Elephas maximus indicus: one gene and its partners. The protein of the gene in region 1 binds, or shares a complex with, the protein of each later gene. Links are inferred from orthologs where the notes say so. Each region holds a gene or a part of one and is shown in the gene's direction. Other genes may lie near its edges.

Region 1 (8,088 bases):
AAGCCATCATGGTCTGCCTCTTTATGTGATTTGATATTGACTGTTTCCTCCAAGCCTTCAGTAAGTTATCATATTCATTTATTTTATGTTTGCTTACTGTGTCCTAGCTTCTTGTTTTGTTTTGTTTTGATATCCCAAATAGGTTGATCATGTGAGCTACTTTTTGGCACCTTTGAAGTGCTCATGCCCTGTCTCCAGATGGTTAAAGCTGTTGCTAGTTATATGAGCCCAGGAGTCCATTTACTTTACTTGTGTGGATTCAGCTCAGGTGTCCAGGTCATTGGTCACCAAATGTGTGGTGCAGGCTCTCACCTACAATCCTAGATGGGAAGGGGTGACTGGAGTAGGCATAGGTACCTGGATGCCGTAGGGGGTCATGAGCTGATCAAGGCAGGGGGTAACTTCTGCCCCTGAGTGTCTGAACAGAAGGTGTGTCCCTCTTCCTAGAGTGCGTAGATAGGTGGGTTTTGCAGCTGGACTATGGGCACCCAATGCTGTTTTCTGTAAAGACTGGGAGTCACCACTTATTCCTAGACCTCTACTGCAGGTGGCTTGGTGGACTGGGTAGAGTCACCAGTCCTCAGGCCCCTGATGTGTGTAGGTGAGGATGCTGCCTAATGGGCAGGGCTGTGTCAAATGTCACAAATCTGCTACTCTCCCTTATAGCAGATACAGATGAAGATAGGCTTCAGTTATATACCCTGTTATACTGTGCTATTTATGGCCAGTGCTGTTGAAACGGACCTATAGAGGTCTATGCAGGGGTGAAAGGTATTCAAAGTCCCTGGACCCCTTATACCTGTGCCTAGACAAAGGGGCTGTACCTGCCCTGAGTTCCCAGCTTAAGGGAGCTGGCAGATTATTTTTCCTGTTTTTTAATTTGTTCCTTTTCCAAAGCCAGGAGAATGGCTCAGGGTTGCGACAGGTCCTACTTCTGGTCCAGAGGGTGCAGCAGTCACTGAAGCCAGACGGAGACCCAGAACAGAGTAGGGAGGGGGCAGGTAAATGGGAAAGAGGCATTTCCCAAAAGGGGTTTTTTTTTTTTGATCTGTGTGATAGGTTAGATGGTTGTACTTTTCTTTCACCACTTGAGCACCATTTCTTGCTGGTTCTGGAAGCTTGAGCAGACTCTCCACCACTTGGTCTCTCCTGATGTGGAAAACACATCTCAAATGCCACTGCTTGCCTCACCACTCATCAGCCAACCCAGCCTGCAGGGTGCCAGTGCCAACCAGGTCAGGTCTGGCAACTCCTTGCTGCTTCTGAACCATCTCTCACTCCCCCTGACGCTCAGTCTGATTCCTCATCTTTGCTTTTGATGTTCATCTTAGATCATCACATATAATTGTTTTTTCGAGTCTTTATATTAAGAGGGACCATATGAAGCATCTGCCTACTCTACCATCTTGGCCTCACCTCTCTTCTCATACTTTATTTTTGTATTTCAGTCATGGGTATTTATTGAAGGCTGTTTCCACGCTAGAAATGAAGCCAGATGTGGTTGACAAGACTAGGGAGACATGGAGGGGGTGAGGGGCCACAGTGAAAGGAGATAACAATTCTGAATAGGAGAATGAGAGCGAGGCTGACATGTGTGAGGTCATCTCCTGTGAGGAGTGACAAGACTGGCGTGGGGTGGGGGGAACTGTGAGGCAGATCTTGGTGTCTGAGAGGGACGACATAACATACATGGAGGTCAGACGCTGTGGGTAAGGAGGGCAGAGGGTGAAAGAGCCGAGGCTGGGGGTGCAGAAGTGAAAGGCCAGAAGCAGGGCAATGCCTCCCTGCACCTCATCCCTCTGCTACCACCTCCACCACCTCCTTGGGATTGTGAGGGTGGGAGGTGGACCAGCCTCTCCTTGAAAGAGCTTCCTCAGGAGCCAGGATTCAGTTGAGGTCCTCTCTGCACGTTTACACAGACTCTTAAACTTTTCCAAACAAGATGAGGTAAGGCAAAGAACGTGGATTTTGGAGTTGGAGTTGGGTAGAAGACTCCCTCACTTACCAGCTATTTAACATTTGAAAGTCTCAGTTTTCTCACCTGTAAAATGGGAATAACAGTGTTTCTTCTCAGAGGTGTGTCTGCCACACAGGAAGTTCTTTCCCAAAGGTGGCTGTTAATTTTTGGTATGTTGAGGCTCCAACTTGTAAACGGGAGTAAAGAGATTCCAAAGCTATGCAAAACTGGCATTCACAATGGCCGCAGGTTGCCAGGCCATCTCTTGGGCCTGCTTCCCCAGGACAGGGGGTGTGAATCAAGGCTGCAGCTCTGTCAGTCACCTCAGCAGCTGGTGATCCCTCAGAACCATAGGAAAGCCCCCTGGAGAGGCGTTGGGCACAGAACAAGCATTTTCTGAGTCCTCACTCTGTGCCAGGCACCTTCATATAGCATCTCAGTCCTTACAGCTGACCCACAAAATCCAAGTCTTTCCCATTTCAGGACAGAGTGAGTTTCGGTTCCGGCTGAGGCTAAGTCAGCCTGAGGACTTCTCCAGCTCACACAGCTCCTGTGTGGTAGACCTGCATATTCCCATCATGCCGTGCCACCTTCCCCCGGGCCCCTATGCAGGGCAGGAAGGCCGTGGAACCTGAACATCCACGGGGAGCCAGGCTGGAGTTCCCTAGAGAACACCCTCAGATTCCATGGCTCTGCAACTCGGTCACCTAAACATCCCAGCACAGCCTCCTCCTTCCCTTTGCCCCCAGGGGAGTGTGAACAAGACTAGCAAAGGGGTACCCATCTTTTGGGGTTAGAAAGAAAAGTATCACCACAGACCTTAAAATGGAATCTATGCTCAACAAATGGGTGGGCTATTATTGTTATTAAATGTATAAATACCTGTGCACTAAATAAAACTTGGAATGAAAAAATTCTTCGTATGCCTCTCCTCTGTCCAACAGAATAGAGTGGCAAAAGGAGTCTTTGTCACAGTTCATGCTCCTCCTATGCTCCCACTCTCAGTCTGCTCATTCCCAACATGCTGGCCCCTAATAACCGCTTGCCCTAGATCCCGCTGTGCCTTTGCTAAAGCTGGGCCATCCTAAGAGGACACCATGCCCTTTTCCCACTGTGAATGCTTATCCATCAAAGCCGTCATAAAAGTAACAGCCTCTCCAAGGGCTTCATTCTGTCTGTTATGGAACGAATAGTCAGTTACTAAGTCCTTTCTGGGGGCCAGGCCTATGCTAAATGCAGGGAACTTAGTGATGAAGAAAACAGACACGTCTCTCCCTCATACCAATCTCAACCTTAAGTGCAACATAGGAAAAGACAGCAGTGTTTCAAGTTAGAATAGCGGGTGGAGGCCTTCCAGGGGCTCTGAGCCAGAGGAGCATGAGGGTTCTGACATTCTGCTTTCTCTCCGCATACAGGCTGTGAGGAGCTGCTGCTGACTCAGAATGGCGGTTTTCAGGCTGGTAAGAATTGCATTGATTTGATCTAGAGCTTTGCTAGGAAAAATCAAAACCCCACTTCTCTGATACCAGATATTTTGATCAATCCAAATCAATTTACTATCAGTTCTGCCCCATCTGTTCCACTTCTGCTCTGATACCAGCTACACATGTAGCACTTCTTCCTCTGACCCTAACCGCCTGGAACTAGATCAGATCTCACAAGTCAATAGGGCACAGTCCTCCAGACTGCCAAGCCTGCCTAACACTTCAGATGCCAGGTGCAAGCTTGGACTCCCTATGACATCATCACTTCTGATCCCATGCTGGCTACAAATTTGGGGTTTTCTTACTACCCCCTCAGGATGCCAGCCTTAGGCTCAGGGATCCCCAGGGCTCCGCCTCACTTCTGACCTTCGACTCCTACTACTTCTTTGTGTTGGGTAATTCACTAGAACGACTCACAGAACTCACAGAACATGCTATACTTTGGTCACAACTTTATTATGGTGAAAAGGATACAAATGCTGAGTTGTATAGGGTGAGGTCTGAGAGGGTTCCCCATGTAGAGCTTCCATGTTCCAAAAGGGGTTACGCTACCCTCCCATGTGCACAAGTGTCTATCACCAACCAGGAAGGCCCTGGAGCTTCAGTGTCCAGAGCTTTTATTGGTGGTCTCGTTAAATAATTCAAACTCCAGCCCTTCTCCCTGAGTTCAGTCAATATCACAATATATCCTTCTGGCACAGTCGGCCCCCACCCAACATGAGTCATGAACCCTTAGGTGTGGTCTGGAGCCTTCATCAAAGACACTTCAATTATTGGGAAAAGTCTAAGGTTTTAGAGGTTATCTCTCAAGAACCAAGGACAAAGACAAAATTCTTTGCGTAAAATTAACCCCACAGGGTGATCTAGGGAAAGTGCCCAAGGCTGAGTTAAATCACTTCCAAGGAAAGAAGGGGAGAGGCAATGAGGTCCGCATAAGGAAAATGCCAGGGACAAGGATATTGGAGGAATAAAACAGATTATATAATCTAAAGAAAATGAGTGTGGCCAGCCCATGGACCTTGGCAGCAACCCTCCACTTACATTCTGGGCTTAAAACATCTTAACAGAGATCCTCCTTCCTTGTCCCATTGGGGCAGTTGCAAGGAGCTCGCACAGAGAAAACAGATGAGGCCAATGCGGGCGAGCGGGGAGCTCAGGCAGAGGCAAGCCGCCACCTCTGGCCTCTGCACATCTTCCCTTTGCTCAGCAAATGTTTATTTAGGTGCCTGGTGTGTCTCAGCGGCAAGGAGCGAGCCACTCTGCGGAAGGAAGCAGAGGAGCTTCACATTTACAGCTTAGTCAACAGGCTTCCCTGTGCCTCTCCTGGGGCCTGGCCCTGCGCTGAGGCAAATGAGATGAGTCAGTGGCCCTGCCTTGGGGTCAGGGACGGGCCTCCAGAGCAGCATCACTAGTGTTGGTGTCACCAGTGTGGTAACTCAGGGTATCACCAACTCCCCCCGCCCCCGCAGAGCTGCAGCGCCGAGGCCCCGCCCATCCGAGCCCCACGCCCGGGTTCCAGCAGCTCCTCCCCTCTCCCATTGGCCAAGGTGGAGACCCTCTCTCTCCACCCAATGGTGGACGCTATGGCCTGGCCACGTGCACCCCGACTAGCAGGTTGTCGGGGCGAGGGGAGTGGTGAGGAGTTACTGCAGTGGGTGACGGGTGACACTAACCTAGTGACGCCACTGCCTTGGTGGCCCCTCCCCAGCGCCTGCTGGTCCGCCACCACTGCTGCGGCCGCCGCTGCCGCTGACCCTGGGGTCATTTTGCTGTCACCCCCTCTGACAGTGTCAGGGGGTGCAGCCCACAACCCCTCCCCCCCCCCGACTACCTTAGTGACGCCACTGCCTCCAGACAACCCAGAGTGTAGGGGAGACCCTCCAACCAGCCTGGCGCCCTCCCTGCCCTCCAGTATTCCACCCTCCTCCCATGCCCGACAAGACCCAGGAAAGCCAGACCATGTAGCAAGTCCTCTTTAAAGATAAAATGTCCAAATGTTCTCCACAAAGCAGCCATCCTCTTCTCCTGGCTGCGGGGTGGTGAAGGTGGTTTTTTGCAATTGCAGAAAAGAAGACTATTCTAGGCTGGAGGGGACACATGTGGTCTAAAAATTTAGGTTACAAGGGCTGTTCCTTACTAAGTCCAAAACAGGAGAGCTTGGAACCACTTTGGAGCCTGAGGAGGCTTGAAGGCAAAGCCAGTCTTATTTCACGAGGGAATAGCCCCATGGGATGCATTACCCAGAAAGGTCTCCTTGGGAACCGGACTAACTGGAAGCAGAGTTTAGAAAGATCCATCTTGGGAGAAATTACTCACAAATGCAGTTGTGGGCCTGCTCTATCTTTTCAGAGTCCCAGTGCCTTGAGAGCAGGGTAATTGTCCGTGTCCATCAGAGGGCCCCGTGGCTGTTGACTAAAGGGCAGATCCATGTTGAGCCTATTACTGCTTTACTGCTACACCTCTGCCTTACTCTGTGCTGGGCACTATGGGGGCCCCTTAACTCTACATCTTCAAAACAGCCTGTGAAGGTGCCCTGTTCAACAGGGGTAAAACTGAGGCCACATACCTCTCCAGGCCTCTTCCATTATCTGGACCTTTTTATCATCTGTCCAACGGCCCATCTGAGATAAACGTCTCAGGGCATCAGCAACAGTTCCCTTTCTGACCTGGGTCATCCCTGCCCCAACTGATTCTTGCCTGGGGCTAGAGGGAGAACAGCCACAGCTTCTGAGGTACAAAGATCACAGGTGAGTCAGCCACCTGCTCCCCAGTCAACTGACACCTCCTCCTCCCATCTTTCTCCAACCTCTCTTGCCTTCAAGAGTTCCTCCCTCTTACTGTCTACCACATCTTGGAGCCGGACTGACCTGGGTTCAAATACCAACACTACCACTTACATCTTTGTAGTAAAAAAGGAATAAAAATACTATTGTTGTGAGCATCACATGGGGTCATTGGAAGCCACACTTGATCCCAACTGTTTTTTAATTTTAATTGTTTTATTGTGGTAACAATATATATAACAAAACATTTGCCAATTCAACATTTTTTTTACTTGTGCAAGTCAGTGACACTGGTTACATTCATCATATATTACAATTACCACTACTATCCATTTCCAAAATTTTCCATTAACCTTAACAGAAGCTCAATGCCCCTGAACAATGACATCTCCTTTCCCCCTCCCTCCCAACTGTGGTAAATACTAACAAACTTTGATCTCTATACATTTGCCTGTTTCATAGAAGTGAGATCATACAGTATTTGTCCTTTTGTGACTGACTTATTTCATTCAGTACAGTTTTTTCAAGATTCATTTCTCTTTATGGCAGAGTTAATATGCCATTATATGCACGGCCACAATTTGTTTATCCATTTATCTGTTGATGGACATTTAGGCTGTTTCCATCTTTTGGCTGTTGTGCATAGTGCTTCAATGAACGTTTGTGTACAAATACCTGTTTGCGTCCTGCTTTCAGTTCTTTCAGGTACATACCTAGGAGTGGAATTGCTGGGTCATATGTTAATTCTGTGTTTAACCTTTTGAGGAACTGCCAAACTTTTCCACAGCGACTGTGCCATTTTACAGTTCCACCAGCAATGGACGAGGGTTCCAATTGCCCCACATCCTTGCCAGCATGTTATCTTCCCTTTTTTCCTATCATAGCCATTCTAGTGGGGGGTGAAGTGGTATCTCCTTGTGGTTTTGACTTGCATCTCCCTAACACTAATGAGGAAACCTTGGTGGCATAGTGGTTAAATGCTACGGCTGCTAACTAAAAGGTCGGCAGTTCGAATCCACCAGGTGCTCTTTGGGAACCCTGTGAGGCAGTTGTACTGTGTCCTATAGGGTTGCTATGAGTAGGAATTGGCTCGAAGGCAACATGTTTTTGGGATGACTAATGATGTTGAGCACCTTTTCATGTGCTTGCTGGACATTTGCAATTCCTCTTTGGTGAAATGTCTATTCATGATCCCAAGTTTTGATAATAGCTCTAGGATTGCTACATGTTCTGAGTATGTATAAGGTGGTAAGGGTGGTCCAGGCGAAGGAAACAGCAACATGCAAAGGCCCATAGCTGAGCCAGATTGTAGTCCTTTGGGGCAATGGATTTGGGTTTTTTTTTAGTTTCCATGTACCCTAAACTTCTCATTTTTGCTTTAGAGTAATTGTTGACCTTTTGGTCTCATAGAGAGATTTTTTTTAATGGAGCATCATACTCATGGGTAATATCCTTTATTTTGTGTGCCAATCTCTTATTTTGCTAAAAGGTGATCTCAGGGAATAGTTTTGGTTCAAAGTTTAAAAAGTATTTCAGGGTGATAGTCTCAGGGATTTCTCTAGTCTCCACTGGTCCAGTAAGTCTGAACTTTTTATGAATTTGAGTTCTGCTCTGCATTTTCCTTCAGCTCTGTCAGGATCCCTCTGTTGTGGCCCTGATCAGAACGGTCAGTAGTGGTAGCCAATCACCATCTGGTTCTTCTGGTCTAAAGGTTCCTTTACTTTTTTTCTTAATTTCATTTTTTGTTGTTGAGAACGCACGCAGCAAAACACACACCAATTCAACCATTTCTACACGTACAATTCAGTGACCTTGGTTACATTCCTAGAGTTGTGCAACCATTCTCATCCTGCCTTTTCTGAGT
Region 2 (6,924 bases), on another chromosome or scaffold:
TTCTATGTTGTTGTTGTTAGGTACCCTTGAGTCAATTCCAACTCATAAGCACCCTGTCTACCACAGAACAAAACACTTACAGTCCTGCACCATCCTCATAATTGTTGTGCTTGACCACATTGTTACAGCCACTGTATCAGTCCATCTCCTTGTGGGTCTTCTTCTTTTTCACTGACCTTCTATTTACCAAGCATGAAGTCCTTCTCCAGGGACTTGTGCCTCCTGATAACATGTCAAAAGTACATCAGACAAAGTCTGGGTATCCTCACTTCAAAGGAGCACTCTGGCTGTATTTCTTCCAAGACAGACTTATTCCTTCTTCTGGAAGTCCATGGTAGATTCAACATTCTTTGACAACATCATAATTCAGAGGCATTAATTCTTCTTTGGTCTTCTCTATTCATTGTCCAGCTTTCACATGCATATGAGATATACCTTAGTCCTTCAAGTGACATGTTTGCTTTCCAACACTTTAAAGAGGTCTTTTGCAGCAGATTTGCCCAATGTAATACGTCATTTGATTTCTTGACTGCTGCTTCCATGGATGTTGTTGGTGGATCCAAGTAAAATGAAATCCTTGACAACTTCAATATTTTCTCCGTTTATCATGATGTTGCTTATTGGTCCAGTTGTGAGGATTTTTGTTTTCTTCATGTTAAGGTGTAATCCATATTGAAGGCTATAGTCTTTGATCTTCTTCAGTAAGTGCTTCAAGTCCTCTTTGCTTTCAGCAAGCAAGCCTGTGTCATCTGCATATCACAAGTTTTTAATGAGTCTTCCCCTAATTCTGATGCCACATTCTTGCTCATATAGCTCAGCTTCTTGGATTATTTGCCCAGCACACAGATTGAATAAGTATGGTGAAAGGATAGAACCCTGACGCACACCTTTCCTGACTTTAAACCACACAGTATCCTTTTGTTCTGTTCAAACCACTGCCTCTTGGTCTAAGTACAGGTTCCTCATGAGCACAATTAAGTGTTCCGAAATCTCCATTCTTTGCAATGTTATCTGTAATTTCTTGTGATCCACACAGCCAAATTTCTGTGCATAGTCAATAAAACACAGGTGAACATCTTTCCAGTATTCTCTGCTTTCAGCCAAGATCCATTTGACATCAGCAGTTGATATCCCTTGTTCCATGTCCTGTTTTGAATCTGGCTTGAGTTTCTGGCAGTTCCCTGTTGATGTACTGCTGCAACTGCTTTTGCATGATCTTAAGCAAAATTTTACTTGCGTGTCATGTTAATGCTATTGTTAGATAATTTCCACATTCTGTTGGATCACCTTTCTTTGGAAAGGGCACAAATACGGACCTCTTCCAGTTGGTTGGCCAGAGAGCTGACTTCCAAATTTCTTGACATAGATGAATGAGCACCTCCAGCATTGCATCCCTTTTTTGAAACATCTCAGTTGGTATTCTATCAATTCCTGGAGCCTTGTTTTTTGACAATGCCTTCAACGCAGCTTGAACTTCTTCCTTCAACACTATTGGTTCTTGATCATATGCTATCTCCTGAAATGGTTGAACGTCAACCAATTCTTTTTGGTACTGTGACTCTGCGTTCCTTTCATCTTCTTTTGATGCTTCCTGAATCCCTGAATATTTTGCCCATAGAATCTTTCCAAATTGCAACTTGAGGCTTGAATTTTTTTCTTCGGTTCTTTCAGTTTGAGAAATGCCAAGTGTGTTCTTCCCTTTTGGTTTTCTAACTCCAGGTCTTTGAACATTTCCTTATAATATTTTACTTCCTCTTCTCAAGTAGCTCTTTGAAATCTTCCGTTCAGCTCTTTTACTTCATCATTTCTTCATTCCCATTAGCTACTCTATGTTCAAGAGCAAGTTTCAGAGTCTCTTCTGACATCCATTTTGGTCTTTTATTTCTTTTCTGTCTTTTTAACGAACTTTTGCTTTCTTCATGTATGACGTCCTTGATGTCTTACAACAACTCATCTGGTCTTTGGTCATTAGTGTTCAGTGCTTGAAATCTATTCTTGAGGTGGTCTCTTAATTCAGGCGGGATATGCTCAAGGCCATGTTTTGGCTCTCGTGGACTTGTTTTAATCTTCTTTAGCTTCAACTTGAACTTGCATATGAGCAATTGATGGTGTGTTTTTCCGCAGTCGGCCCCTGGCCTTGTTCTGACTGATGATATTGAGCTTTTCCATCTTCTCTTTCCACAGATGTAGTTGATTTGATTCCTGTGTTTTCCACCTGGTGAGGTTGGTATGTATAGTTGCCATTTATGTTGTTGAAAAAAGGTACTTGAAATGAAAAAGTCATTGGTCTTGCAAAATTCTATCATGGGCTCTCCGGCATCATTTCTATCACCAAGGCCATATTTTCCAACTGTCAATCCTTCTTTGTTTCCAGCTTTCCCATTCCAATCGTCAGTAATTATCAATGCACTTTGATTGCATGTTTGATGACTTTCAGACTGCAAAAGTTAGTACAAATCTTCAGTTTCTTCATCTTTGGCCTTAGTGGTTGGTGCGTAAATTTGAATAATAATCATATTAATATTAACAGGTCTTCCTCGTAGGCCTGTTGACATTATCCTATCACTGACAGCGTTGTACTTCAGGATAGATCTTGAAATGTTCTTTTTGACGATGAATGTGATGCTGTTCGCCTTCAATTTGTCATCCTTGGCATGGTAGGCCATGTGGTTGTCTGATTCAAAATGGGCAATACTAGTCCATTTCAGCCCACTAATGCCTTTGATATCAATCTTTATGCATTCCGTTTCAAATTTGACAGCTTCTGTTTTTCCTAGATTCATACTTTGTGCATTCCACATTCTGATTATTAATGGATGTTTGCATAAAATGTTTCTTATCAAGGACTGCCTGGTTACTTAAGATTTGAGGTGCTGTGGAAGTAGATAAAATTGGAGTTCGTTAGACATTTCCAATACTTACATAAAGGTGAAGGTAATTATTCCCTCTGTAGTTAATTACAGTGTTGAGGGTTCTAATCAGCCAGTTTTGGGACAGAACAAGCGGCAGAAGCTGCTTAAGAAAGCCTGTAAAGTTTAACACAAGAGCCGCTAGTTTTATGCTTGATTTTCCTAGATTTGTAAATTATGTTGAAGTGCTTCATGGGAACAAGCTGTTAGGGGTTGAACTGGAGTGAATACTGCATCGACTAAAGCATGAGTGACACCGCAGTCTCCCCCACCCCCAGCCTTTCCTCCCTCATCTGTGGTATCTCCATCCCCAGGCCCGGCCTTCCATAGGTGCGTGTCCCTCCCACCTGCACAAATGAAATGTAAAGCCCCGTGAAGCGGTGTAATTCTCCGCATCCCACCTGTCACCCGGCCCCTCGCCCTCCCAGTGCTCACATCCCAGCCCCTGCACAGCGCCTGGCAGCCAGATCACGAAGTCCCCGCCTGCACCAACTCCTTCCTCCCCTGGCCGCCGCGCCCATCCTCCTGCCGGGGCCTCCCGGGGGCCACCCGCGGGATCCTGTCGCTTCGCCCTCTCCGTCCCAGCCCTGACCCCAGATGCTCCTGGGCACCTTCAGTTGTTCACCATTCCTCCCCGGGGCCCACCTCCAGGCCCCCAGCGCCTCCGCTGGCCCAGCTGCCCCCTTCGGGGCCCCCACGCTGGGCTCTGCTCCTGCAGCCTTAGTGCACAGGGTCGCAGCGCAGAGGCTTTGCACTTGCTGTTCCCATAGCCTGGCCCACCCGGGGCGAACTCGCAGCCGGACACCCTCCTCCCTCCCAGACCCTCCTGAACCCGCCAGTGGAGGCGCCCCCGGCCCCCGCAGCCCTCCTGTCTGCGCCCCCATGGACGCCCCCCGCCGCCAGCCCGCCTAGGAGCGCCAACTTGGCGGGGAGGACAGGCGGTCGCCAGTCGACAGCTGGGGGGTGGCCCTGACCTTCCGGAACGATCAATGAGGCCCCGGCAGCTCGGAGCCGGGGCGGAAGCCCCTCCGGGCCCCCCCACCCCAAGCCCGGCCCTGGGGGCTATAAAGGGGTGGCGCAGGACTCCGGACGCCGACGTGAGCGCTCAGCACAGCCCCGAGCCCGCCATGGCCTCCCCGCCGCCCGCCGCGCTGCTGCTGCTCCTGCTGCTGCCGCTGCTCCGGGCCTCCGCCGCGCGCCCCGCGCCACCCAGGTGAGCCCGCGCCCCCCAGGTGAGCCCGCGCCCCCCAGACAAGCCCGCCGCCCGAGCCCGCGCCGCCCCACAGCCTCCTCCCTGCCCGGAGTTGCACGGCCCCTGGGGAGCCCCTGGCGTCCTGACCCGGCCCTGCGACCCCCCAAGGGCTCTGAGACACTCGGATGGGACGTTCACAAGCGAGCTGAGCCGCCTGCGGGACAGCGCGCGGCTGCAGCGGCTGCTCCAGGACCTGGTGGGAAAGCGCAGGTGAGCGTGGAGGGCCGGCAGGGGCACTGTACAGCGGGTGAGGGAGACCAGGAGGCCATCCCAGAACCGGGGAAGTGGTCTGGCGGAGGCCCCAGGTCCGAGGAGGGGGGCTGGCGGCAGCATCCCAGAGACGAGGAGGAGGCAGGCGGGGGCACCCCTGAGCCGGGGAGGCGGCGGGTACCCCATGTGGGGCACGCCCCCCTCACCCCTGCCCCACTTCAGCAGTGTCTGATCCCCCCAACTCCAGGACTAATTCTGATTGGGGGGCGGGGTCAGTGAGCAGGACACAGAGAACAGCACCGCCCAGGTCCAGACCTTGGAGGGCCGACTCTGCCTGCTGTGGTCCGACCCAGGCGCCCTGCAGGCCTGGTGAGCACAGCGCGCCCCAGCACCTGCCTGACCCCCCCCCCCCCCGCCTCCCCAGCGGCCCCCAGATGCAGGAGCTGGAGTTGGCAGTGGGGGTGGCATGACACCGACCAGAGGAGCCCTAGTTTCACCCAGTAGGGGGTGTCCAGACCCCTGCTCACTTGGCTCCTTTCTGCAGGATGCCGGGCGATCCAGCAAGGGCTCAAGCTGGGCTGCCTTCCCCGCCCGGGTCTGGAGTCAGGATTTGGGAGCCAGACACCCTGGGAGCTGAAGGGTCCTGGCAGCCTAGATGAAGCTGGAGGAGGAAGGCGTCTTTCCACTGACCTGGACCTGGAGCCAGAGCCTGAGGGAGGGGTGGGGGGGCGGGGACATACTTGGCACTAATAAAGGAGAAATTCAGACCCTGGCCCCATGAGCCCACTGTATGCACCGTCTCAGTCCATTGAGGCAGCCCCCTGCAGGAGAGGAGGGGGCAGCTGTCAGGTGGAAGGATGCCCCCAGGTCCACCACTTCAAGGACTGTGGCCATGCCTGGCATGCCAGGCTGCCCTTTAAACTTGGGACCGAGCTGGCCTTTCAGTGCCTCTCCTTAGTATTTCTTTATCTTGGCATCGGTGCCACCTCCTGTCCATCAGTCCAGCTGGTGGGGTGGTGTCCTGCCCGGACCCATGTCCATCCACTCAGCTAACATTCCTCCCCAGGAACTAAGTGGTCAGTGTGTTTGCAGCAAGAGGTCGGGGGTCCGGAAGGGGGTAAGGAGGCTCAGGACAGCAGGGAGTGTTACCCAGGAGGACCAGAGCCTGGCTCCAGAGTGAGAGGGCTCTCATTGGCCAGGCTGCATGGTCTTGGGCCAGAGGCTGGGCCACACTACACCTACGAAGTAGGGACTTGGATGCACCCCCAGATAATAGCGTGGGCGTGAGCAGCAGATGGAGGGCCAGGAAATGGCAGAGAGGTGTGGGCTAGGAGAGGGTGTTTCTGCCTTGGACAGAAGAGGTGTAAGGGCAGGAGTGGGGGGGCTCCACCCCCCATTACAACAGCCCCTCCCCCTCCAGACCCTACCCAGGTGCCTCTGCCAAGTGTTCCTGGACTGGGGGGTGGGAAGAGGGCTTGGGAGGCCAAGGAAAGATACATGTGGGACAGGAGGGGCCGGGGACAGTGAGCCCCCACAGTGGTAGGGCAGGGGGGCTGGGGCCAGGGCCTCACCATGACCCCACTGTCTCAGTTATCTCATGCTGCTATCACAGAAATACAACATGGGGGTGGTTTTAGCAAACAGAAATTTATTTTCTCATAGTTTCCCCATTACCATTGCGGTTAAGTCAATGCTGACTCATAGAGACCTTATAGGACAGAGTAGAACTGCCCCCATAGAGTTTCCAAGGAGCACCTGGTGGATTCGAACTGCTGACCTTTTGATGCCTTAGCAGTTAACCACTACGCCACCAGGGTTTCTTTCTCACAGTTTAGGATGCTAGAAGTCTGAATTCAAGGTGCTAGAAGTCTGAATTCAAGGTGCTGGCTCTAGGGGAAGGCTCTCTCTCTCTGTCAACTCTGGAGGAAGGTCCTTGGCTCTCTGAGCTTCTGCTCCTGGGCAATCTTCATGTGGCTTGGCATCTCTCTTCCTCCATCTCTGCTTCACTCGCTTGCTTGTTTAATCTCTTTTATATCTCAAGAGATTGACTCAAAATACACCCTAAACTAATCCTGCCTCATTAACATAACAAAGACAACCCTCTCCCAAACACAGTTACAACCACAGGCACAGAGCCTAGGATTTACAGTACAGATTCTTGGAGGACCCAATTTAATCCAGGCCTGTGGGAGGAGTCTCCACTGAGCTGCCCCATAAACACCTCTATCTCCATCTCTTGGGCCCTGCCCAGCCCCACCTGGAGGAAGCTGACTTGTGTTTAGGAACAGACAAGGGTGTGCCAGGGACATGCAAAAGAGCCTTTTCCTTCTGACCGGAGGGCTGGTGCAAAGGGAAGGATGGCCAGAGCACAGAACCAGGGTCTGGACCTCGCAGGGACAGGACCTCATGGGTCACCTTAGGAACTTTGCCCCAAGGAGGTTCTAGGAAATAAGACTAGAAATGTGCACGAGGTGGGAGGGTGGGGCAGCCTGGGGCGGGGTGGGAGAGGGTGGTAGAAAGGGAACACAACAAACTCAGAGACCAATGGCCTAG
Region 3 (7,641 bases), on another chromosome or scaffold:
CTCTATGTATTTGCCTATTTTAGGTAATTCATATACGTGAGATCATACAATATTTGTCCTTTTGTGACTGACTTACTTCACTCAGTATAATGATCTCAAGTCAACTTCATTTCTCTCTATGGCTGAGTAATATTCCATAGTATGGATATGCCACATTTTATTTACCCATTCATCCACTGATGAACACTTGACTGTTTTTACTTTTTGGGTGTTGTGAATAGTTCTGCAATGAACATTGGTGTATAAGTACATGGGCTTGTAATTTTGAGAGATGTTGCCCACTTGCCCTACCCAAGGTTGTACCGATTTGCATCTCCCTAGCACTGCATGCCCATCTCCCTGTGGCCTCAGCCACGCAATGCATTATCTAACACCTTCATTTTGTCAGTTTCATAAGTGAAAACTGGACTGCAAATTAGTCATAATTCACATTTCTCTTATTATGAGTGACATTGAGCAGATTTATATTTTTTCTTTTGTTTCTAAATTTTATTTATTTTGTTGTTGTCACTGAGAATATACACAGCAAAATATACACCAATTCAACAGTTTCTACATGTACAATTTAGTAACATTGATTATATTCCTCAAGTTGTACCGCCATTCTCACACAGTAGCTTTATATTTTCAAAGAGCCAATTGTGTTTCCTAGTTCATCATCTGTCTGTTCATATCCTTACTCACTTTTCCATTTGGTTGTTGACATTTTCTTTATTGAATGAGAAAGATGTTCCCTTACAGGGGGGAACATTCACCCCTGTGTTATGGATTGAATTGTGTCCCCCCAAAATTTGTGTCACTTGGCTAGGCCATGATTTCCAGTACTGAGTGGTTGTCCATCATTTGTGATCTGATGTGATTATCCTATGAAATCCTAACCTCTACGATGTTATTGGGACCCTGGTGGTGCAGTGGTTAAGTGTTTGGCTGCTAACCAAAATGCCAGCAGTTTGAATCCCCCAGCCACTCCTTGGAAACCCTATAGGGCGGTTCTACTCTGTCTTATAGGGTTGCTATGAGTCAGAATCAACTTGACCCCAACGAGTTTTATGATGTTAATGAGGCAGGATTAGAGCTAGTTATGTTAATGAGGTAGGACTCAATCTACTGGATTAGGTTGTATCTTGAGTCAATCTCTTTTGAGATATAAAAGAGACAATCCAGCAGAGAGGAGAGGTACCATTACCATCAAGCAAGATGAACCAGGAGCTGAGCAGGGTCCCTGCCCTCAGAAGCTTCTAGACCAGGAGAAGATTGATGAGAAGGACCTTCCCCCAGAGCCGACAGTGAGAGAAAGCCTTCCCCTGCAGCTGGCACCCTGAATTTGAACTTCTAACCTCCTAAACTGTGAGAGAATAAATTTCTCTTTGTTAAAGCCACTCACTTGTGGTATTTCTGTTACAGCAGCACTAGATAACTGAAACATGCTGATTATGGAGGAAGAAACAGCCCAGAGAAGGCAGGGAGTTGCCCAGACCCACAAAGCCAGAGTGGCTGAGTCACAGCTGATCCCAGCCAGGTCAGACTTCCTGTCCAGGACACTCGCTGTTCCTTGCCCTTTCTGATTCCATGACTTAAGGCACCAGGTTGTAGAAGAGGCGGACTTACCTGTTCCAGCTCTGTTCTTGATTTTGAGGCCCCAGAGTGGGGGAAGGGTTCCACTCTCAGAAAATGAAGGTGCTGGTTCCCTAAGAGTGGAATGGAATGCTGGGAGATCTTCCTTCAAAATCTGTAAGATCAAGTCCAGTCCCTCAGCCTGACACCAAGGCCTTCCCATCCTCCTCTCAGTCTAGTGGCCATGCACCATGGGGCCTCTGGCCACATCTGCTGCATTTCCCTGAATAAGGTATGAGCTGTTAGACCTCTGTACCTTCACACATGCTGGCCCCTCCACCTGGAAGGCCTTTCCTTTCAGGTCTACTGGGAAAACTCCTACTTTTCCTTCAGGACCCCACCTAACTGTGTCCACCAATGAGATGCCCTCCTTGGCTCCCCAAATGGAGGAGACATTCCCACAGCTCTACTCTCACACAAATCACAGTGCCCAGAGCCTAGAAGGTGAATAATAATTGTTGAAATGAAATGAAACAAGAGTCGATCAGCTCTAGGAAGACAGATACTCATAGCCCACCAGAATGCAGTTCCTCAAAATGCATTCAGTGCCACACACGTGGCCCAATGGGAAGAAAGCCTCTTGAAAGTCAAATAAATTAGAAACATCAGATTCTAAACAGACCTCTTCCCTCCAGAACTTGTCAGTACCTTTAATGGGCCATTACACATTGTTGTTTTAGGAGAATTCTCAGCCAAAGACCTTGCTAGGCCCTGATTTCCTTGATTCAGAAAGGTTCAAACCCTAAGAGAATGATATCTCCAGGCACAATGGTGTTTCAAACTAAGTTCCTTTTATATTTTACTTAAGTGAATATTAAGTAGTAGTGATTGAATTTCGCTCCACTGCTTATCTGTCCTTCGCTGGTGAGGCAATTCTTTTCTCTAAATTGCTTCAAATATCTGAGCAGTAAAAACACCCCCAGCCCCATAGGAGGGGTTGCCAGTCAAAGTCTGGGGCAAGATCTCCCCCAGAGACAAGAAAGGAAGGAGACCTAACTGTTCATACCTGGGATGAGTGCCAGTGGTGACATGCAATGTCTCGTTTTGAGCACAGAAAGACAGGGGTTGGCAAACTGTGGTCTTCAGGCCAAATGTGGCCCACCGCCTGCTTTTGTGTACCCCATGAGCTAAGAAGGGCTTTTACATTTTTAAATTGTGGAAAAAAAATTAAAAGAAGGATAATATTTTGTAAAACATGAAAATTATATGAAATTCAAATTTTTGTGTCCATAAATATAGTTTTATTGGAGCACAGCCCTGTCCATTCATTTCCGTATTGTCTATGGGTGCTTTCGGCCTACGATGGCAGAGTTGAGTAGTTGCTAAAGCGACTGTGTGGTCCACAAGCCTAAACTACTATTTGTCCCTTTACAGAAAAAGTTTGTTGATCCTTGTCTTAATAGAATTATTATAGAGTTGTTTTTGTTAGTTGCTGTCAAGTCAGCTCCAACTCATGGTTAACTTATGCGCAATAGAACGAAACTGGCGGTCTTGCCCCATCTTCATTATTGTTGGTATGTTTGAGTCCATTTTTGCAGCTGTTGCATCAATCCATCTCATTGATGGCTTCCTTTGTTTTTGGCGACCCTCTACTTTACCAACCTTGACGTCCTTTTCTAGCAGTTGGTCTTTCCTGATGACATGTCCAAAGTAAGCTAGTTGAAGTCTTGCCATCCTTGTTTCTAAGGAACATTCTAATTGTGTTACTTCTAAGACCAATTTGTTGGTTCTTCTGGAAGTCTGCAGTATATTCAGTATCCTTTGCCAACACCACAGTTTGAACACATCAGTTCTGTCTTCCTTTTTCATCATCCAACTTTCGCATGCATGAGGTGATTGAAAAGACCATGGCTTTGGTCAGACGCACCTTACCCATCAAAGTGGCGTGTTTGCTTTTTAAAACTTTAAGGAAGTCTTTTGCAGCAGATTTGCCCAATGCAATAGGTTGTTTGGATTCTTGACTCTGCTTCCACAGAGTAGCAAGCATGAAAAACACTGTCTTAACAGAGGGCATGAAACAAAACATTTGAAGAACCCATGCTGCTCTCCCCTTTTCTTCGTTGTAGCTTATTATCAATTGTCTTTGGGGATGAAAAAGCCTTGGGGTTTCAGACCACTTGGTGACAATGAATCAGAGACCCTTTTTCTTGGATGAAGGACAGCTTGCAACATGAAAGGCCAAAAAGCCAGGGCCAGATAGAGTTTTCCAAGAGTCCCTGCCCAGCTCTGAATTACCAAGAAGGGCACAGAGTATACAGTACTAACCAATCTGACTGGATCTGGGAACCCTTTTGCCTTGGGGCATCTTACAGGGCGAGGGTTCCATGGAGAACACTTTAGGAAAGGTTGCAATGGCAGCTATTAAATGTGTCAGTAAGTAGGTCAAAGGACCCTGGCTCAGCCATGGAGTCCCTGGATGATCCTGGTCAAGCCATGGTCCCTTTCCTCTCCCCTGTTTTCGAAGGATGCTATCAGTGTGGACATTTCAAACAGGGGGGATAATGTAGTGGTTGAGGGAATGCATTTTGGAATCCAAAAGACCTGTGTTCAAAGTGAGATCTTGTCACTGGTTCTCAGTGTGGCCTCCAGCAAGCCTCCTAATCTCTCAGCCTCGGTTTCCACATGTGTAGAATGGGACAATGATAATAACCACCTCATAGTTGCAGGAATAATGAAATAATGCATCTAACCTGCTTGGAACAGTGCTTGTCATGCAGTGGGTGCCAAATGCTGGAGTCAAGTTCAGGTTCATCCTGAGGCTGGGGCTCTGGATTGGGCTCAGCTGTCTGCCCACACCTCTGTTTCTCCCACCCATGGAACATCTGAAAAATGGACAGAGGGTGATATGCCTGCATGACCCAAGGAGGGGCTCTGTGGGAATTGCTGGGTGGTGGGCAGGTCTGGGGGGCAGGTCCAGACAGACGAGGACCTGGCAAAGGAGGGAGGCCCAGATCCAGGCACCCCTCCCTGAAACTGCCTCTTCTAGGTCCCTCCAGACGTGATGGCGTGGCCATGGCTGTCCTGCGTCCTGCTTCCTGCCCTGGTGGTGTCTGGTGGGTGCCTCCCCTCCCCAACCAGAGTAGTGCTAAGCTGGGGACCCTTGGCATAATCCTTCTGAAGGGATGGGGCAATCGCTCCCTGATCAATAAATACTGAGCTCCTATGGCCGAACTGTATGCTTGGCTGCACTAGGAAGCCTGGGGAGGGATCTAAGGTCTAGGTGGGTGAACTGGGGTAGATGGTTGGCACTGGAGTGGGCTTTGGAGAGGTGGGGGGAGGTCAGATGTTGCAGGGGGTCCAGATGTTCCAGTGCCCTGTCTTCCTGTAGTGGCAGCCAACACGGCCCCAACTTTCCTGCCAAATATGACAGCAGTGACCCTGCCGGAGGACCTGCCAGTGGGTGAGTAATTTTTTTTTATGCCCAAGCCCATACCTGAAAGAGGGTCCCAGGGGCTGTCAGGGGGCAGCTCTACCCCAGCACATCTTGTCGGGGGGCAAAACCAGTAAACCCGTTGTCGAGTTGATTCCAATTCATGGCAACCCCACATGTGTCAAAGTAGAAGTGTATTCTATAGGGTTTTCAATGGCTGACTGTTTGGAAAGAGTACCAGGCCTTTCTTCCAAGGCACTTCTGGGTGGACTCAAACCTCCAGTCAAGTATGTTAACCATTTTCGCCAACCAGATTCTCCATCAAGGGACACAGGGGGCCTGAAGTGAGTTTATTCAATACCAGAAGTTTGTTTTCTCCTCATCTCTTACATCCACAAGTATAGGGGTTAGGATTTATAACACATATTTTTGGGTGACACAATTGAATTCACAACATTCCACCCTTTCGCCCCCTCCAAATTCATGTTCTTCCCACATACAAAACACATTCACCCTATCACACCATCCCGAATGTCTTAAATCAAGTCTTCTGAATCATCTAAGTCAAGTATGGGTGAGATTTTGCTGAATGTATTCCATCCTGGGGCAAAATTCCTCTCCATGAGTGAACATGTGAAACCTACAACACAAGTTATCTGCTTCTAAAGTACACTGGTGGAACAAACACAGGGTAGACATTTCCTTTACAAATGGGAGCAATTGGAGGGAGAGAAGGGCATATGGGCACTATCTTAATTATCTAACCCATCTTAATTATCTAGTGCTGCTATAACAGAAATGCCACAAGTGGATGGCTTTAACAAACAGAGACTTATTCTCTCACAGTCTAGGAGGCTAGAAGTCCAAATTCAGGGTGCCAGCTCCAGGGAAGTCTCTCTTTCTCTATCGGCTCTGGGGGAAGGTCCTTGTCATCAATCTTTCCCTAGGATCTTCTCAGCGCAGGGACCCTGGGTCCAAAGAATGCCCTCCCCTCCTGGTTCTTCATTCTTGGTGGCATGAAGTCCCCCTGTCTCTGCTCGCTCTTCTGTCTTCTTTACCTCAAAAGAGATTGACTCAAGACACAACCTAATCTTGTAAATTGAGTCCTGCCTCATTAACATCATAGAGGTAAGATTTACAACACATAGGAAAATCACATCAGATATCAAAATAGTGGACAATCACAAAATACTGGGAATCATGGGCCAAGATGACACACACATTTGGGGGGGACACAATTCAATCCACAACAGGCACCAAACACGTCCAAAACCCAGTAAAGCAAATTACGTTAGCCCTCAAGGCTTGAAAATAATCCTCTGTTCTCCAGGACTATCTGGGCAATGGAACTACCCTCCAAATCTTTAAGTTTGTTTCATTTTGCACAGTTCATTTTTTTAAATCCATCCCTGCAAAATGAATTGAAGGTGTTGGCCTCAATCTCCAGATTATGAGTGGAGGCCCCATGTCCCCAGGAGTCAGCCCACCCTCCAGGTCCACTGGGACAGCAACTCTGCTTCCTCAGCTTTAGGTGGTCCCATTCTCCTAGTCCATTTACCTATTCATGTCATTTCATAAAAGTGAGAACATACAATATGGTTTTTTGTAACTGACTTATTTCGCTCAAAATAATGTCCTCTGGGTTCATCCACATTGTAAGATGTTTGTGGAACTCATCTTTCTTTATTGCTGAATTATGTTCCATTGTATGTATATATCACATTTTACTTATTCCTCTGTTGATGGGCACTTAGGTTGTTTCCATCTTTTTGCTATTGTGAATAATGCTGCAATCAACATAGGTGTGCATATGTCTGTTCGTGTCACTTCTATTTGATCCCTAGGGTATACATGTAGGAGTGGAATTGCTATAGGGTCCTATGAGTCGGAATCAACTCGACATCAGTGGGTTTGGGTTTGGTTTGGAATTGCTAGGTCATATGGCAGCTCTACCTCTAGTTTTTTGAGGAACTGCCAGAGTGTTTTCCACAATGACTGTACCATTTTGCATTCCCACTGGGAAAGAATGAGGATTCCAATTTCTCCACATCCCCTCCAACACTCGTTATTTTCTGTTTTTGTTTTGTTTTTTATCTTAGTCATCTCAGTGGGAGTGAAATGGTATCTCACTGTGGTTCTGATTTGCATTTCTCTGAGGGCCAATGACATTGAGCATCTTTTCATGTATCTGTTGGCCATTCGAATACCATCCTTGGTGAAGCCTGTTCATGTCCTTTGCCCAGTTTTTGTTTGGGTTGTTTTTTTGTTAAGTTGTAGAAGTTTTCTGTATATTTTAGATATTAGACTTTTATCAGTTATGTTGTTCCCAAAGATTTTCCCCAATCTGTAGTCTGACTTTTTACTCTCTTGATAAAATCGTTTGATAAACATTATTTAACTTTTATGAGGTCCCAGTTATCTATTTTGTTCTCTACTACTTGTGTATTTGTTGTTATGTTTGATAATCTATTGCTGAAAAAATTACATCCCAAAGCTTTGTTCCTATATTTTCTTCCAAGAACTTTATGGTTTTAGATTTAACATTTAAGTCCTTGATCCATTTTGAATCGTTTTTTGTGTATGGCATGAGGTATGGATCTTGTTTCATTTTTCTGCACTGAAGAAATCCAGTTTTGCTCAGCATTTCCTTTCATAGC

What was found. Proteins that work in one complex are often made in the same cells at the same time.
Region 2: MYO7B (region 1) and CDHR5 share a complex: the UniProt entries of both Homo sapiens proteins name them as parts of the IMAC/intermicrovillar adhesion complex. The link is inferred for Elephas maximus indicus from reciprocal best matches to the Homo sapiens genes MYO7B and CDHR5.
Region 3: MYO7B (region 1) and CDHR2 share a complex: the UniProt entries of both Homo sapiens proteins name them as parts of the IMAC/intermicrovillar adhesion complex. The link is inferred for Elephas maximus indicus from reciprocal best matches to the Homo sapiens genes MYO7B and CDHR2.

The regions. Positions count from the first base shown.
Region 1 is NC_064824.1:15,096,056-15,104,143, forward strand, and holds the start of MYO7B (unconventional myosin-VIIb), read left to right. Parts: upstream 1-5,024; coding exon 5,025-5,402; intron 5,403-8,088. UniProt on the Homo sapiens protein: Myosins are actin-based motor molecules with ATPase activity. Their highly divergent tails are presumed to bind to membranous compartments, which would be moved relative to actin filaments.
Region 2 is NC_064825.1:137,425,034-137,431,957, forward strand, and holds the start of CDHR5 (cadherin-related family member 5), read left to right. Parts: upstream 1-3,898; coding exon 3,899-4,122; intron 4,123-4,269; coding exon 4,270-4,371; intron 4,372-4,466; coding exon 4,467-4,548; intron 4,549-4,795; coding exon 4,796-4,871; intron 4,872-4,915; coding exon 4,916-5,091; intron 5,092-6,924. UniProt on the Homo sapiens protein: Intermicrovillar adhesion molecule that forms, via its extracellular domain, calcium-dependent heterophilic complexes with CDHR2 on adjacent microvilli. Thereby, controls the packing of microvilli at the apical membrane of epithelial cells.
Region 3 is NC_064820.1:196,536,803-196,544,443, forward strand, and holds the start of CDHR2 (cadherin-related family member 2), read left to right. Parts: upstream 1-4,615; coding exon 4,616-4,667; intron 4,668-4,942; coding exon 4,943-5,014; intron 5,015-7,641. UniProt on the Homo sapiens protein: Intermicrovillar adhesion molecule that forms, via its extracellular domain, calcium-dependent heterophilic complexes with CDHR5 on adjacent microvilli. Thereby, controls the packing of microvilli at the apical membrane of epithelial cells.